2 linked regions of the Danio rerio genome follow. The protein of the gene in region 1 purifies or fractionates together with the protein of each later gene. This does not show direct contact. Links are inferred from orthologs where the notes say so. Each region holds a gene or a part of one and is shown in the gene's direction. Other genes may lie near its edges. The genes, in order: tnrc6ba and ago4.

Evidence for each region.
Region 2: the proteins of tnrc6ba (region 1) and ago4 purify together in Homo sapiens (co-immunoprecipitation; 3 studies listed by BioGRID and IntAct, with this or other methods). This does not show direct contact. The link is inferred for Danio rerio from reciprocal best matches to the Homo sapiens genes TNRC6B and AGO4.

What each region holds. Positions count from the first base shown.
Region 1 is NC_133187.1:20,943,569-20,950,801, forward strand, and holds the start of tnrc6ba (trinucleotide repeat-containing gene 6B protein), read left to right. Parts: upstream 1-3,422; 5' UTR 3,423-3,693; intron 3,694-3,952; exon of another isoform or gene 3,953-4,402; coding exon of another isoform or gene 4,403-4,501; exon of another isoform or gene 4,502-4,651; intron 4,652-4,858; 5' UTR 4,859-4,889; coding exon 4,890-4,946; intron 4,947-5,701; coding exon 5,702-5,723; intron 5,724-5,916; coding exon 5,917-6,267; intron 6,268-6,428; coding exon 6,429-7,233. Other genes in the region: si:ch211-141o9.10 (probable endonuclease 4), read right to left, coding at 215-346, 436-615, 786-995, 1,068-1,251, 4,403-4,501.
Region 2 is NC_133194.1:50,609,686-50,616,478, forward strand, and holds the end of ago4 (protein argonaute-4), read left to right. Parts: intron 1-823; coding exon 824-1,023; intron 1,024-3,878; coding exon 3,879-3,987; 3' UTR 3,988-4,001; downstream 4,002-6,793.

The sequences.
Region 1 (7,233 bases):
AAGCTGAATAGAAAATGAATGAATGAATGTTAAGGTTTTAGTTATGATACTCCCAAAATCATTTTGATTTTTAACACAATTCTGCGCAGAAATAGCAAAAAATGTCAGCAGATTCCATTTGGCCCTACATATGAGTCATACATCTTTTTTTCCCAAATAATTGTTAATATACTAGAAAATATAAATATAACTAGAAAACTTTACACTACAGTACCTGCAGCAAAAGCATGGCAAGTGTCCAGACACACCCCGACCCGTGTCTTGTCACGCACTCTGTCGATTATGCCTTTTAGTTCACTGAACTGCCCACCGATGGTGCTGCCCTGACCACTCATGTTTTCAAGCACTATTGAGAGGAAAGAAAAAAAGAACACAATTCTTCAGCTGAACTCACCAAACAGCATTACACATTTACTAGAAATTGTCAGGGTTGACCTGTAATGACAGCAGGGGTTTGCTGGTGTGCATGATTAATAGCTTGGGCGATTTTCTCCATGCATTTCTCAGGGCTGGAGTCCATAGCAGCTCCAGGGTGAAAGTTAAACTGGCTGAGGCCCAATGCATCGCAGCGACTCAGCTCATCCACAAGCATAGCCTGGCTCTTACTGAACACATCTGGATTACAAGCACAGTCATTTGACACAGCCTCATATGCAGCTATTGACTAGATATTGCTTAAATCCACAGAGCTATGTTTTTTTAATGCCAACGTTGTGGCTTCATCTTTAAATAGTCAGTTTTTGGTTAATGCACACAACCACAGAGAGTGCAGTCATTGCTCAAACCTTCTTTAGGAGAACCGCAGTTCATCAAATAAGATCCATGTGGCAGGATGTGTACTGGATCGAAGCCATGTTCTGCACAGGCTTGTTGAAATTTAACTGCAGCCTTTGAATCAAGGACTGGTCTTGTCCAGGAGCGCTGAGAGCCCAAAAAAAGGGCAAAAGCGTGACCTCCCATGGCCACACTGGACTCCACTGCTTTCCATATTCCTCCTGATTAAGGAAAATTTCTAGAATTGTTATGTGTTTGGAACAAATACTGCATTAAAAATAAAGCATCTTCACCTGAAATTGAGACGTGAGCGCCTATATATTTTTTCTGTGGTTTCATCTTCCTTTTGCATGCCATTTGTTCTTTGGTGCTGCCATCTGATGGTTCTGCATCCAAGTGTTGTTGCTTCTTTGCTTCAGTGAGCTCCACCGTCTTTTTTTTCTTCTCGCCTTTTCTTCGGGAGGCCATGCTTTTTTTCTAAGTCAAGAATAAACATGTGGCTAGACATTGTTGTAAAACGCCATGATTAACTAGGCAATTAAAATAATGTGGTTTATCGATACTGATGAAAAGATTGCTATTTTTTTTACTATTTATAAAAATCTGATTATAAAATAGAATCTATAAAAAATCAAATCTACAAAAATAGATTATACAAAAAACTTAATTTTGTTTTATTAAAAATAATCCAGTATTAAACAAAGGTATTATATGTAGTTTTATAAAAAGTATATGTGTGTGTGTGTATATATATATATATATATATATATATATATATATATATATATATATATATATATATATATATATATATATATAAATATATATATATATATATATATATATATATATATATATATATATATATATATATATATATATATATATATAAATATATATATATATATATATATATATATATATATATATATATATATATATATATATATATATATATACACATACAGTTGAAATTCAGATATATTAGCCTCCCAGAATTATTAGCCCCCTGTTTATTTTTTCCCCAATTTCTGTTTAATGCAGAGAAGATTTCTTCCACACATTTCTAAACATAATAATTTTAATAACTGATTTCTAATAACTGCTTTATTTTATCTTTGCCATGATAACAGTACATAATATTTTACTAGATATTTTTCAAGACACTTCTATACAGCTTAAAGGGACATTTAAAGGCTTAACTAGGTTTATTAGGTTAACTAGGCAGGTTAGGGTAATCAGGCAAGTTATTGTATAACGATGGTTTGTTTTATAGACTATCAAAAAATCTATAGTTTAAAGCTTAAAAACTGCTTTTAGTCTAGCCGAAATAAAACAAATAAGACTTTTCCAGAAGAAAAAGTATTATCAAACATACTTTGAAAATTTCCTTGGTCTATAAACATAATTTGGGAACTATTAAAAAAAGAAAAAAATTCAAAGGGGGGCTAATAAATCTGACTTCAACTGTATATATTACAGAAGGGTGAAGAGGCTTTACAAGTGCAAGTGCTGTTATTACGGGTATATCGCATGGCTATCAGCCAATCAGATTTGAGAACCAGACAGAATTGTTATTAGCCCACCTTAGATTTTTTTTTCTTTTTTAAATATTTCCCAAAATATGCTTATAAACCAAGGAAATTTTTACAGTATGCCTGATAATATTTTGTCTTTATTTTATTTTGACTAGAATAAAAGCAGTTTTTAATAAAAAAAAAAAAAAACATTTTAAGGTCAAACTTATTTGCCCCTTTAGTCTACAGAACAAATCATCATTATACAATAACTTGCTTAATTAGTCTAACCTGCCTAGTTAATCTAATTAACCTAGTTAAGCCTTTAAATGTCTCTTTAAGCTGTATAGAAGTGTCTTGAAAAATATCAAGTCAAATATTATTCACTGTCATCATGGCAAAGATAAAATAAATCAGTTATTAGAGATGAGTTATTAAAACTATTCTGTTTAGAAATGTCTTGAAAAAAATCTCCCTGTTAAACAGAAAGTGGGGAAAAACAAACAGGAGGGCTAATAATTCAGGGAGGAATATGTATTATTATTCTAATAATTATTTATTATTTATTTTGTTATTTATTTAATTATTATTATTCTAATAATTATATGTGTGTGTTTACACACAATATTTAAGGTCTTAAAGCTGAAAAGAGATTTTACATAAAAATGTATTTAAAAACACATTTTACAAATTATTATTATTATTATTATTTATACTCTTCATCATTTTAGTATCTGTAACGTTATACAAATTGATGCTGATTCAAAAAAGGCCTCTGTGTACTAAAAATCTAAAACCTTATCTAAATTATAAAAACATAAAACTTATTATGACAGACTGGGGTAGCCTTAACAAATGTTGCAAATATGTACATTTAACGTTAGTATTTATTGTGAGGCATCGCTCTTTTTAAGTAAGATGAAATTTCTTGTGACAGACTGAGATAGCCTTAACAATTTTTACAAAAAAGCAGTAGGCTACCTTACGTAACATTACGTATAATTAACATTCACTGCAAATGAGTCAGGTCTCATGCCAAATATGTTCTATTTATTAAAAGAACGTCCAATTAAAGAGTTATTGGACTTTTAATATTGAAGGTCAAAAATCTCCCTCGGCTGCCCCCCTTCCGTCAGATCTGTCCAGACACACACATTCACACCGAGCAGTAAAATGGCCGACCGTCAACCAACTGACTTTACAGCGCTTTAAACATAGATTCCGCCTCTTTCGTTTACATTATCGTATTTCATATTTAAAACCTACAGAAGGAGTGTTTTCATGACTAGCTCATAGATATTGATGGAGTATTGTATTTCACGTTGCCTCAAAACCCAGAAATTCGCACTTAAGCACTTTAGCTGTAGCTAGAAGACTAGCTGCGGTGCATGTAATTCCTGAGGTAAGTGCTTTATTTTAAAAATCATTTCATGTGAAATGTTGCTTGCAACTAATGACACTAATATGCATTTTGAAAAACCGCAGTTGCGTGAAAGCGTTTTAGTATGGTACAGTTTTTCTTCGTCGACATCTGTTAGCCCTAGCTCTGTCGCTAGTTAAATTAGCCAGGCAGCCAGTTAGCATTTGCCTGTATGCAACTTTAACGTTAGCTTTCCGCTGGTCAATCATGAAAACATACTCGTTGTTGTATAGTAACACACTAATGGATCTGAGTTATGTCTGCGTTAAAATAAGTATAAGTTGAGTTTAGCTAGGCAATGTATATCACGACTATTAGTCCAGGCTTGCTAACGTTACGTTAACGTTGCTGCTGCCCATATTTGAGCAGTTGCATATTTATGCATATTTTGTTTTGACAGCTGCTTACCCTTTTGATTTGTGTTACGATCCGTACGTAAATAGACTCTGGCTTCAGGGAGAATTTAATAAAATATCTGAGGTTCACGTTTAGGATGTTAATATCTTCTGCTAGCAAATTAGCTAACGTTAACTGAGTAACATACACCTGAGATTGGCAGGACCACTAAAGCATACGCGTTAGCTCGGTGTGTTTCAGTTAGTGCCGTTAAAACACTGGATTTAACAGTTGTTTTTGCTCGAATTGTTCGTATAGCCGACGTAAGGAATGTATGCTATATTTTAAATTTTACCCGAGGAAATGGGCGGGTGGACGGACGAAGCGCCTGTCCAACAACTCTGCCCTGCCAACTGCAGGCTTCCAGACAGATAGCAGCAAGAGTTTCCCCCATTATGAAGATCACAGTATGAATTTCATTGGCATCCGTTTTTTAATGACAGGTTCAAACTCCACTCGAGCCTTCGTTCAAATTATTTTTACAAAGATTGGTGATATCTTGATCATGTGATTGGTGCCGTTGTTGTGTATTGTGCTGTTATGCATTTGGTTTGATAACACAGCAGCACCTCTTAGTGCCTGAACTGGTTGAAGGTGATACTAGACGTATGCATTTTGCAGATCCTTGGTATTGTATACTAGGAATTGGCAGTTTATTTACATTTATTTACATCATTATTTACATGGCAGTTTATTTACATTTACAAAGTTTTACAATTGAACACTAGTTTTTGATGTTTTGTTTTTCAAGAAAGGAGCACCAGGAAAGGGAACAGCAGTTCATGGAAGACAAGAAAAGGAAAAAGGAAGATAAAAGGAAACGGGAAACCTCGCAGAAGGTAATTGCTATGTTATATTAATTATTTCTGACTATTAAGTTAAGCACATACCGTCTTTGAAAAGATGTGTGTTCATTTTCAGAATTGAAATAGCATTCTGGATTCACTTTTTATGCTGTAAATGTAGAAGTCCTTTCTAGAGAATAACGTCGTATTAATAGTTAACTGCATCAACCAAGCCTCTGGTACATGTTTGTCAAAGTATCATTGTAGAAATACTGATGCTTGGCTGTTCATGAAAATATTGATTGCTATCACTTAATTAGCATTCATGCTTTAGGTTTGATCTCAATATAATCTTGCTTACCATATCTAAATCCTTGAAAAGAATGTGTAAGATATAGTTGAGATGTTTGTTTTGGGCCAGCTTGTCCTGTCAGATACTCTGACATATATGTGCTAAACACAGATAGGTTATGTTGGCTGTTTAATTAGTTTTTTTTTCTCATTGCAAAACCTATATATATCACATGCTATAAAAATATTTCCATTTTGCTGTCAGGGGTGCAAGAGGGTTTCTGCATGTGAATTTCCTCTCAGCTTCACTGAACAATTGTGAAGTTTTGAGATGGAGTTATAATGGTCATTAAAGTTTTATTGTTCTTAGTGGGAAAGGCTACTTTAAATAATTTTATTAAATGCGGTGGAATGTAGTTAAGAGATGAAGAAGGAATACCTTAAACTTTGTTGTGTGCCCTGAGTAAATTAAAATATATGTTTTCATCAAATCTGTATCTCCTTTTTTATTGTTTTAGGTTGCAGAGCAAAAAAATAAAGGTAACTATTTTATTTCCATCTTTAATTTTTGAACTCTGTACTGACGTTCTGAGACTATGTGTTTTTATGCTGTCAAGGAGGCATATTATGTAATGTCCACTTTGTTAACTTGTGAATTTATTCTTTTCTTTTACCTATATGTAGCTTTTCTGCAGTTCTGCTCTCATTTGCTCCTAACTTTTCCACCACACAGTGCCAGAATTGACCAAGCCTCCATCTGCACAGTCTCCTGCCGCCCCCAACTCAGCTTCCCCCAGCCCTGGCCCCGTCCCCTCTTCAACCCCATCCGCTGCCACCCCGGCTGCTGGCACCCTCCCTCAGGGTGGGAACAATGCTAAGCGGCCGGCGGTGGCCAACGGACAGCCCTCCCCCAGCACACCGAATTCTCAGCGCTACATGCCCCGTGAAGTGCCCCCTCGATTCCGTTGCCAGCAGGACCATAAAGTGCTACTGAAGAGGGGCCAGCCACCACTGTCCTCCATGCTGCTGGGGGGAGGCAACAGCGGGGGAGACAGCCCCAATGAAACAGTGGCTTCTGCCTCAGGTAGGAATCATTAGGTTAATAATTTAAATTGCATAGTTACATTTTTATTCAGTTGTACACTGGGTAAGTTGATCATTATATTTTATAGTTTGTATTACATATGCTTGGTTTTTGTGTCATAAAAAAGTCTAGCATATCTTGAAGATTTTATTTTATTTCAGATCCAAGCCAGGGCCCTGTGGGTCCAGCTGCTCCCTCACTGCCCCATACGTCATCCGCCTCATCAATCGCTGCTTCTTCTTCTTCAAATTATGCAAATTCCATGTGGGGGACCAGCTCTGGCAGCCATCCCCTCTCTCAGGGCAGGGAAAAGGTGATAGTGGACCGGTCAGACCTGGAGGAATGGCCCAGTATTGCTGCTGGGGATGGATCAAAGTCAGGGGATGCAGCAGGTACAGGAGGTACAGACAGTGGTGCGATTCTGAACTGCAATGCCTCGTGGGGTGAGAGGCATCTCCAGCAGCAAGCGAAAGTTGTGGGAGGAGGGAACGGAAGGAAAGGAGTCAATTCTGGCAGTCCCTCTCCGCCCACATCCTCTGGATCACCCAATGAATGTATGCAGTCTGGTAGTGTTTGGGCTTCATCCTCCCATGAACTCATAGGGGGGAATGCAGTAGCAGCAGGCTCATTGCCCCCCATATCCAAAGCTGCCCCTCTCCCAGGGAGCTCTGATAGCTCCTTTGGTGTCAGCTGTGGGATTCCAGGTGCCAATTTTACCCCTAATGCCAATCCCTCTGCTTGGCCAGCCCTAGTACAGGAAGGGGCTGGGACAGTTGCAACAGAGGGTGGCTCCTCTTCCCTCCAAAGCTCATCTTTGTCTGCCAGCAACCCTCTTTCTGTGAATCAAGCCTCTCATCAGCACCAACTTCACCAAATGCAATCCAGAGACAGAGAGCCATCCTGTGGAGAATGGGGTGGCACAGCACTGGAACCAGGAGCAGGACCAAAAAACACTGGGGTGACAGA
Region 2 (6,793 bases), on another chromosome or scaffold:
GCCGATCTAATCCTGTTTACGTGAATTGAACCTGCTCCCGATCAGGTTTGAGCTAGCAGAACTGTTGCCATGACAACAACTCTCAGATCAGCTTTGAAGAACGAAACGATCCTGGATCATGTCAAATCGTCAATATCCAAATCCAGCTAACTGAGTAATCCGTGTACGAAGAACCGACCACAAGTCAGAATTTGGCATGCTTGACTGTATATTTGTTTAATTGCTGATGAAATGCACTAGTTAGATATATCACAAGAAATAGCATCAATAAAAATTATAGTTATAGCACGAAATATCGGTCACACTTTACAAAAAGGTTTAATGTATTTACTAACATCAGCTGATAATGAACAATACATGTAAAAGCATTTATTAATCATAGTTTAACATTTACTAATGCTTTATTAAAATCCAAATTCATGCTTATGAACATTAGTTAATGCAACGCGAGTTAACATGAACTGACAATACTAGTTAATGTATTGTTCATTGTTTGTTCATGTTAGTAAATGCATTAACTAATGCAACCTTATTGTAGTTAATGCGTTTACTAATATGAACAAATAAAAATACAGTGGTTCATGTTTACTCACGGTTTATTAACTAATGTTATCGAGCATGAATTTGTTTGTTAATAATGCAATAGTAAATGTTGAATTAGCATTAATAAATGCTGTACAAGTATTGTTCATACTTGTTTATGTGTGACCAAAATATCGTTATTGCAACACTAGAATCATATTGCAATATTGTGTATTGCATATGTTCCCAGTATATAGTGGAACTTTTTTTCACTCATTTGTTTCCCCGTGTTCTCCCGCAGGGCACCAGCCGTCCCTCTCACTATCACGTGTTGTGGGACGACAACTGTTTCACCGCTGACGAGCTCCAGCTTTTGACCTACCAGCTCTGCCACACTTATGTGCGCTGCACCCGCTCCGTCTCCATCCCCGCGCCAGCTTACTACGCCCGGCTAGTGGCCTTCCGCGCACGCTATCATTTAGTGGACAAAGACCATGACAGGTTAGTAACACTTCAGTATTAAGAGCCTGTGTAAAGTGACCATAAATACGTGTTGAGCTCGTCACACAAAAGAAAATGTGGTGTTAAATGGAGCGCTCATCCTAAAATTATCATTCTAAACCTTTTGAGTTTATTTCTTCTGTTGAACACAGACGAAGGTATGTTAGAAAAACCTGTCACCATTGACTTTCATGGTAGAAGATTAAATGCTATGGAAGTCAATGGTTACAGGTTTTCAGCTTTCTTCAAAATGTCAGCTTTTGTGTTTACTAAAAACAAGAGAAGATATTTTGAAAAATGTTGAAAACCGGTAACCATTGACTTCTATAGTAGAAAATCAAATGCTATGGAAGTCAGTGGTTTGAAGTTTTCAGCATTTTTCAAAATATCTACTTTTGCATTCAACAAAAGAGAACATTTAAACAGGTTTAAAACAAGCGAATAGTGAATAAACGCTGAATGAATTGAAAGTTTTGGGTGAAATATCTCTTTTTAAAAGTTTTTTTATTTATTATTTATTCATACTCGAAATGGTTTCAAACCTTTTGAGTTTCTGAGTTCTGCTGCACACAAAAGAAGATATTTTGATTAAAGCTTAAAGCCGGTAACCCATTGACTTCTGTTGTAGGAAAAACACATATTGTAGACATTAGTACTTAGTTTTCCAGCTTTATTCAAAATATCTTATGTTCAATGGAAAGGTTTGAAATTAGTAGGGTTGGGTACTGTTCAGGTTTTTACTGGTATTGTACTTGTAATGCGGCACTGGTATCCATCTGTACTTTTTTCCAGTTCTTCTACTGTGTAATCGGTGTGCAAATTACAAGGGGGTTTGGTGGTGTCTGATCCCCCTAATTACACCCCCTGACGGCAGTGTTGCCAGATATAGCATACTTTTTCCAGCCCAAAACCCGCCCAAACGCACACAAAAAAACACCCAAAATATTAGATCAATATTTTACTTAATTAACCTAGTTTAACTGTTATATATTTTAAACCATACAGCACACAACACCAGCACTCACAGAACCACAGCAAAACCGGATCCCATCAAAACCCTGCCCTCCCTCTCACCCACATACTGCACTTACCTATTTGAGTATTTACTTTTGAAATGGGGTATAAATTTGTCCCGTTTTAAATTTTTCACACTGTGTAATCAGTGTGCAAATTACAGGGGGGTTTGGAGGTGTCTGATCCCCCTAAATAACACCTCCTGATGGCAGTGTTGCCAGATATAGCAGACTTTTTCTAGCCGAAAAGTTGTCCAAAACCCGCCCATATAATATTATATTAATATTTTATTGATATTTAATTAATCTACCTACTTTAACTGTGTGTGTGTGTATGTATGTATGTATGTATGTATGTATGTGTATATATATATATATATATATATATATATATATATATATATATATATATATATATATATATATATATATATATATATATATATATATATATATATGTATGTATGTATGTGTGTGTGTGTGTGTGTGTGTGTGTGTGTGTGTGTGTGTGTGTGTGTGTGTGTGTGTGTATATATATATGTATATGTATATATATATATATATATATATATATATATATATATATGTGTATGTATATATATATATATATATATATATATATATGTGTATGTATATATATATATATATATATATATATATATATATATATATATATATATATATATATATATATATGTGTATGTATATATGTATGTATATATATACATATATATATATATATATATATGTGTGTGTGTGTGTGTGTATATATATATATAAACCATACAGCAACCAACACCAGCATCACAGGACCACAACATAACTGGATCACATCGAAACCCTGCCCTCCCTCTCACCCACATACTGCACTTACCTATTTGAGTGTTTTACTTTTGAATTGGGATATAAATTTGTCCCATTTTAAATTCTTATATAATTAGGTGCTGCTTGTCAATCAGAAAATGCTTCTATGCTTGTTCTTGCTGTTACTTGCGGAAAAAACGATTGATAAAAGTGTCATGATAAACCGCTGTGCGTTTAACTTCTCGTGAAGTGGAGTCAGATATTGATAACTTTTCTTCAACTCTTGCGGGTAGAACCCGGCGGTTTGCACTATGCACTGGTAAGTACTAACTGAATGGAGTAGGAGCACATATGTTTTGTTAAATAAGTTGCATATATAAAATAAAAATCATGTTTCAAAACCGCCTAAATTTTGTCAACCCGCCTGCCATTTTTTTACCCACAATCAAATTCAAAACCGCCCAATCTGGCAACACTGCCTGAAGGAGATAAACACAAAATGCATAGGGGGGGTCAGCCCTTTAATACAGAGAAGTAGTTCACTCTGGACTGTATTTTAAATAATAATGTCAATAATAGAAATAATAGGTAATATAAATATACATTTGACCACCCCTATAACGGTTCATACCATTGTGAATGCATAACTGTGCCAATCAGTCAATGAGAACATACATTCAACAGTCTTCGACCGACACGGTAAGTGTGCAAAGGCTGTTTGTTTTTCCGTATCGCCTAAAATTAGCCAAATAAAATGCATGGTTTGAACTACAGTAATGTATGAAATAGCTAATCAGACCATACTGTAGGTCTGAATACACTGAATATCCCACATACACTAATAAACTTATTACATTGCAATTTAAATTAAAAAACACAAACTAACATTACTGAAAAAGTTGCCATGTGCAAAAAAGGAATGTCAAAGTGCATAATGGGTCCCCTTAGAGTTTCTGTAACACACACATCCCGGACAGTGTATATTGATGTGTGTGTGTGTGTGTGTGTGTGTGTGTGTGTGTGTGCTTTGTGTCTCAGTGCTGAAGGCAGTCACGTATCAGGACAGAGCAACGGTCGAGACCCGCAGGCGCTGGCGAAAGCTGTGCAGATTCACTACGACACACAGCACACCATGTACTTCGCCTGACCACAGCCAGCAGGAGGCGCACTTCTACACTCCTTCCAGCTATATCTATTATCTCTCTCTCTCTCTCTCTCTCTCTCTCTCTCTCTCTCTCTCTCTCTCTCTCTCTCTCTCTCTCTATTATCTCGCTCTCTCTCTCTCATGCTGTATTTCTCTCTGTTATCTCTCTCTCTTGAAGCGGGGGCCGTCTGTCAGTCAGTCCAGTCCACAATGTTCGGCCTCAGAAGAACCAGCCTCTACCAGCAGTCCTGCACTGAGGGGCCACTGACCTCCAATGCACACAGAAAAACAAAACAAAAAAACAAAATCAAATTGAGCCATTTTTAACCGTTTATTTTTATCCTTTCTTTCTAGTTTTGATTTTTTGAATGTCTTTTTGATTTGTAATATACACTGAGTGTGAGCAAAACCTGCGCCACCGGTCAGGGCAGCTCTGGCTCTCTCGGCTAAGCTGGACTCTGTCTACTTTTACCTCAAGCCGCCATCGGCTGAATCTTGTCTTTTTGTGTGGGAGGGAGGGAGGGGAGGGCGGGGCTTGCATGTTAACGAAGGGGGCGGGGTTTTGTTTTTGTTGACTCTCCTCATGGTCTTTTACAAACGAGGTGACCTGGGTTGTACATACCCATTACCCTGCTCCCATTTAGTGTGTGTGTGTGTTTGAGTGTGTGTGTGAATGTGTGAATGTGCAGGCCACTGAATTGTAAAGGGAAATCTAGGAGCAAACTGCTGTAAATGCCTCTTCTTTTTTTATATTAACACACACATAGATATATGGAAAAAAAAATATGTATAAATATTTACAACTCTATAAGCATATTCCTCTTGGCTCTGATGATAAGCTGATGGTTTTTGTGTAGCAGTAGCATTACCCATGGTCCCTCCACAGGCCGCTGGGGTTGTTTTTAAAAGCAGGCTTGTGTTGGTCCAGAAGCGGCGCATGTGTTATTGATCGCTCAACGGATGTGTGGCCATTGCACAGGCGTCTGATTGGCTAGGTTTGCGACATACAGCACTCTCCCTTCCTTTTATGCATTTATACATAAGAGTCAAATCAGATTTGTAAGAGTTTAATATAAATGGTTTTTTGTGGTAAACTTTAACAGTTTGTTAGAGTAGATGATCGTCGTTCTTGTCGTTTTAATGTTTATCGATCAGTCGTCGGCAAATCAATCGCGCAACTCATCGATCCAGGAGTCGTTTGTGCTTGTAAATGGAGATTTTTAAGTTTGGTTTGTTTTTATACGGCTTGTTTTCTCTTGGCGTTTGGTATCGAGGGCCCAAAATGCTTGGCTTCGTCCACTTTTTCATATTGCGATCAAATTTTAGCATTAAAATGACACATGGTTTGTTTGTTTTCGGATATTAGCAGCAGCAGTTATATGAATTTTACACTTAAAAGTGTGTTTATTACTACTTTCTCTCTCTATGTGTGTGTGTGTTTGTTTATGAATCTCTTGATGAACTTTCTCTCGCGTATTAAACATAGGACACAGAACACACACTTGCAGAAAGCACTGCCGAGGGTCTCCAGCGCACACGCCTCGTCAGGCGGACGCTCGCGGAAACACTTTTGTAATAAACCATCCGTAAAGCAGCAGGTTTGCTATGAATGAGTTTGAGCACCAGCCTGTCGCTGGCGTGGACGCTGGATCCGAGATCGTAGAAGAAAAAGGAAACGAGCAACATGCAATAATTGTATTAGCGAACTGTCACGGCGAGTCCTGGCTATCGTGTGTCCTTTTTAGGCAGATACATGACATTTAATTCCAGTTTCTATCATGAGCATCACTGCGAAGCAATATTATTAACCCGAGAAGATGATAACGCTGCAAGTTTTCAGTCTTTGTGGATGTTGGTTGGATTCCTCTTGTTCATGTACTTACTTTGCTTGTATCAATCAGTGGGAATGTGCATATGGTGGACTAGCTCTTTTCCTTTCGTTCATTTACGCTACGTGAATTTAATTTAATTCGGAGGATTTAAATGTGCTCGCCTGCATGCCAGAGTATTGTCTCTCTCTATCTCTCTCTCTATTTATTATGGCGCGGTTATTTTTATTTTTACTCTGCGTAAATCAATTCAGTGAGACTGTTTTGAGTAGCGATGTTGTCCGGTCTCCTCTTTTACAGGATTTTAAGAGTTCTTATCAGAGGCTGAGCTGGATGGAGATGTCAGTCTCAGTGAGCTCCAACCTAAACGAGGTAGTTTCTTCAATCACTGGGTCGCTGAGACTGACCTGTCCGCCGGTTTGTGTCCAATTAGGAGCCTCTGTGTTTTCGTTTTCCCCTCTATGCTCTCCAGTGCAGTGGCGCCCCCTGCTGGCTCCTCCGTACACATGCATTTCTGCTGGCGTGTGTCGGCCCCCGGGGGTCCCTGCACTAGGATTACCTCTTTATTTGTAAACCATTCGATTTCGAGAGCATGAGTTTATTATTATTATTATTATTTTTTTTTTTAAATCCTATTTGATATCTTTGGCGTTGTTATTTGGAAAGATGTGTAATTTAATTTTTCGTTTCTCTTACTGGTGTGTAGCTTTTTGTTTCGTTTATTTTTGTGCTGTTTTATTCTCGTGTTCTGAGCTGTGTGACTTTTTTTTTTTTCGTCCGATAGCAATAGTGGGCACTCCCTTTGACCTGCTTTATGGAGGCTCCTGGAGCTCCTCCAGTCCCCGTGCCCTGTCTGTTGCTGTAATGCTTTGTGACATTTTAAAAAATAAAATTATAAATCCCCCTCCCCCCCTTTCTTTTCTTTTTTTTTTTAGCCTGGAGGGAATATTTGTGTTATTGTGCAAAGTAATAAATTGGTA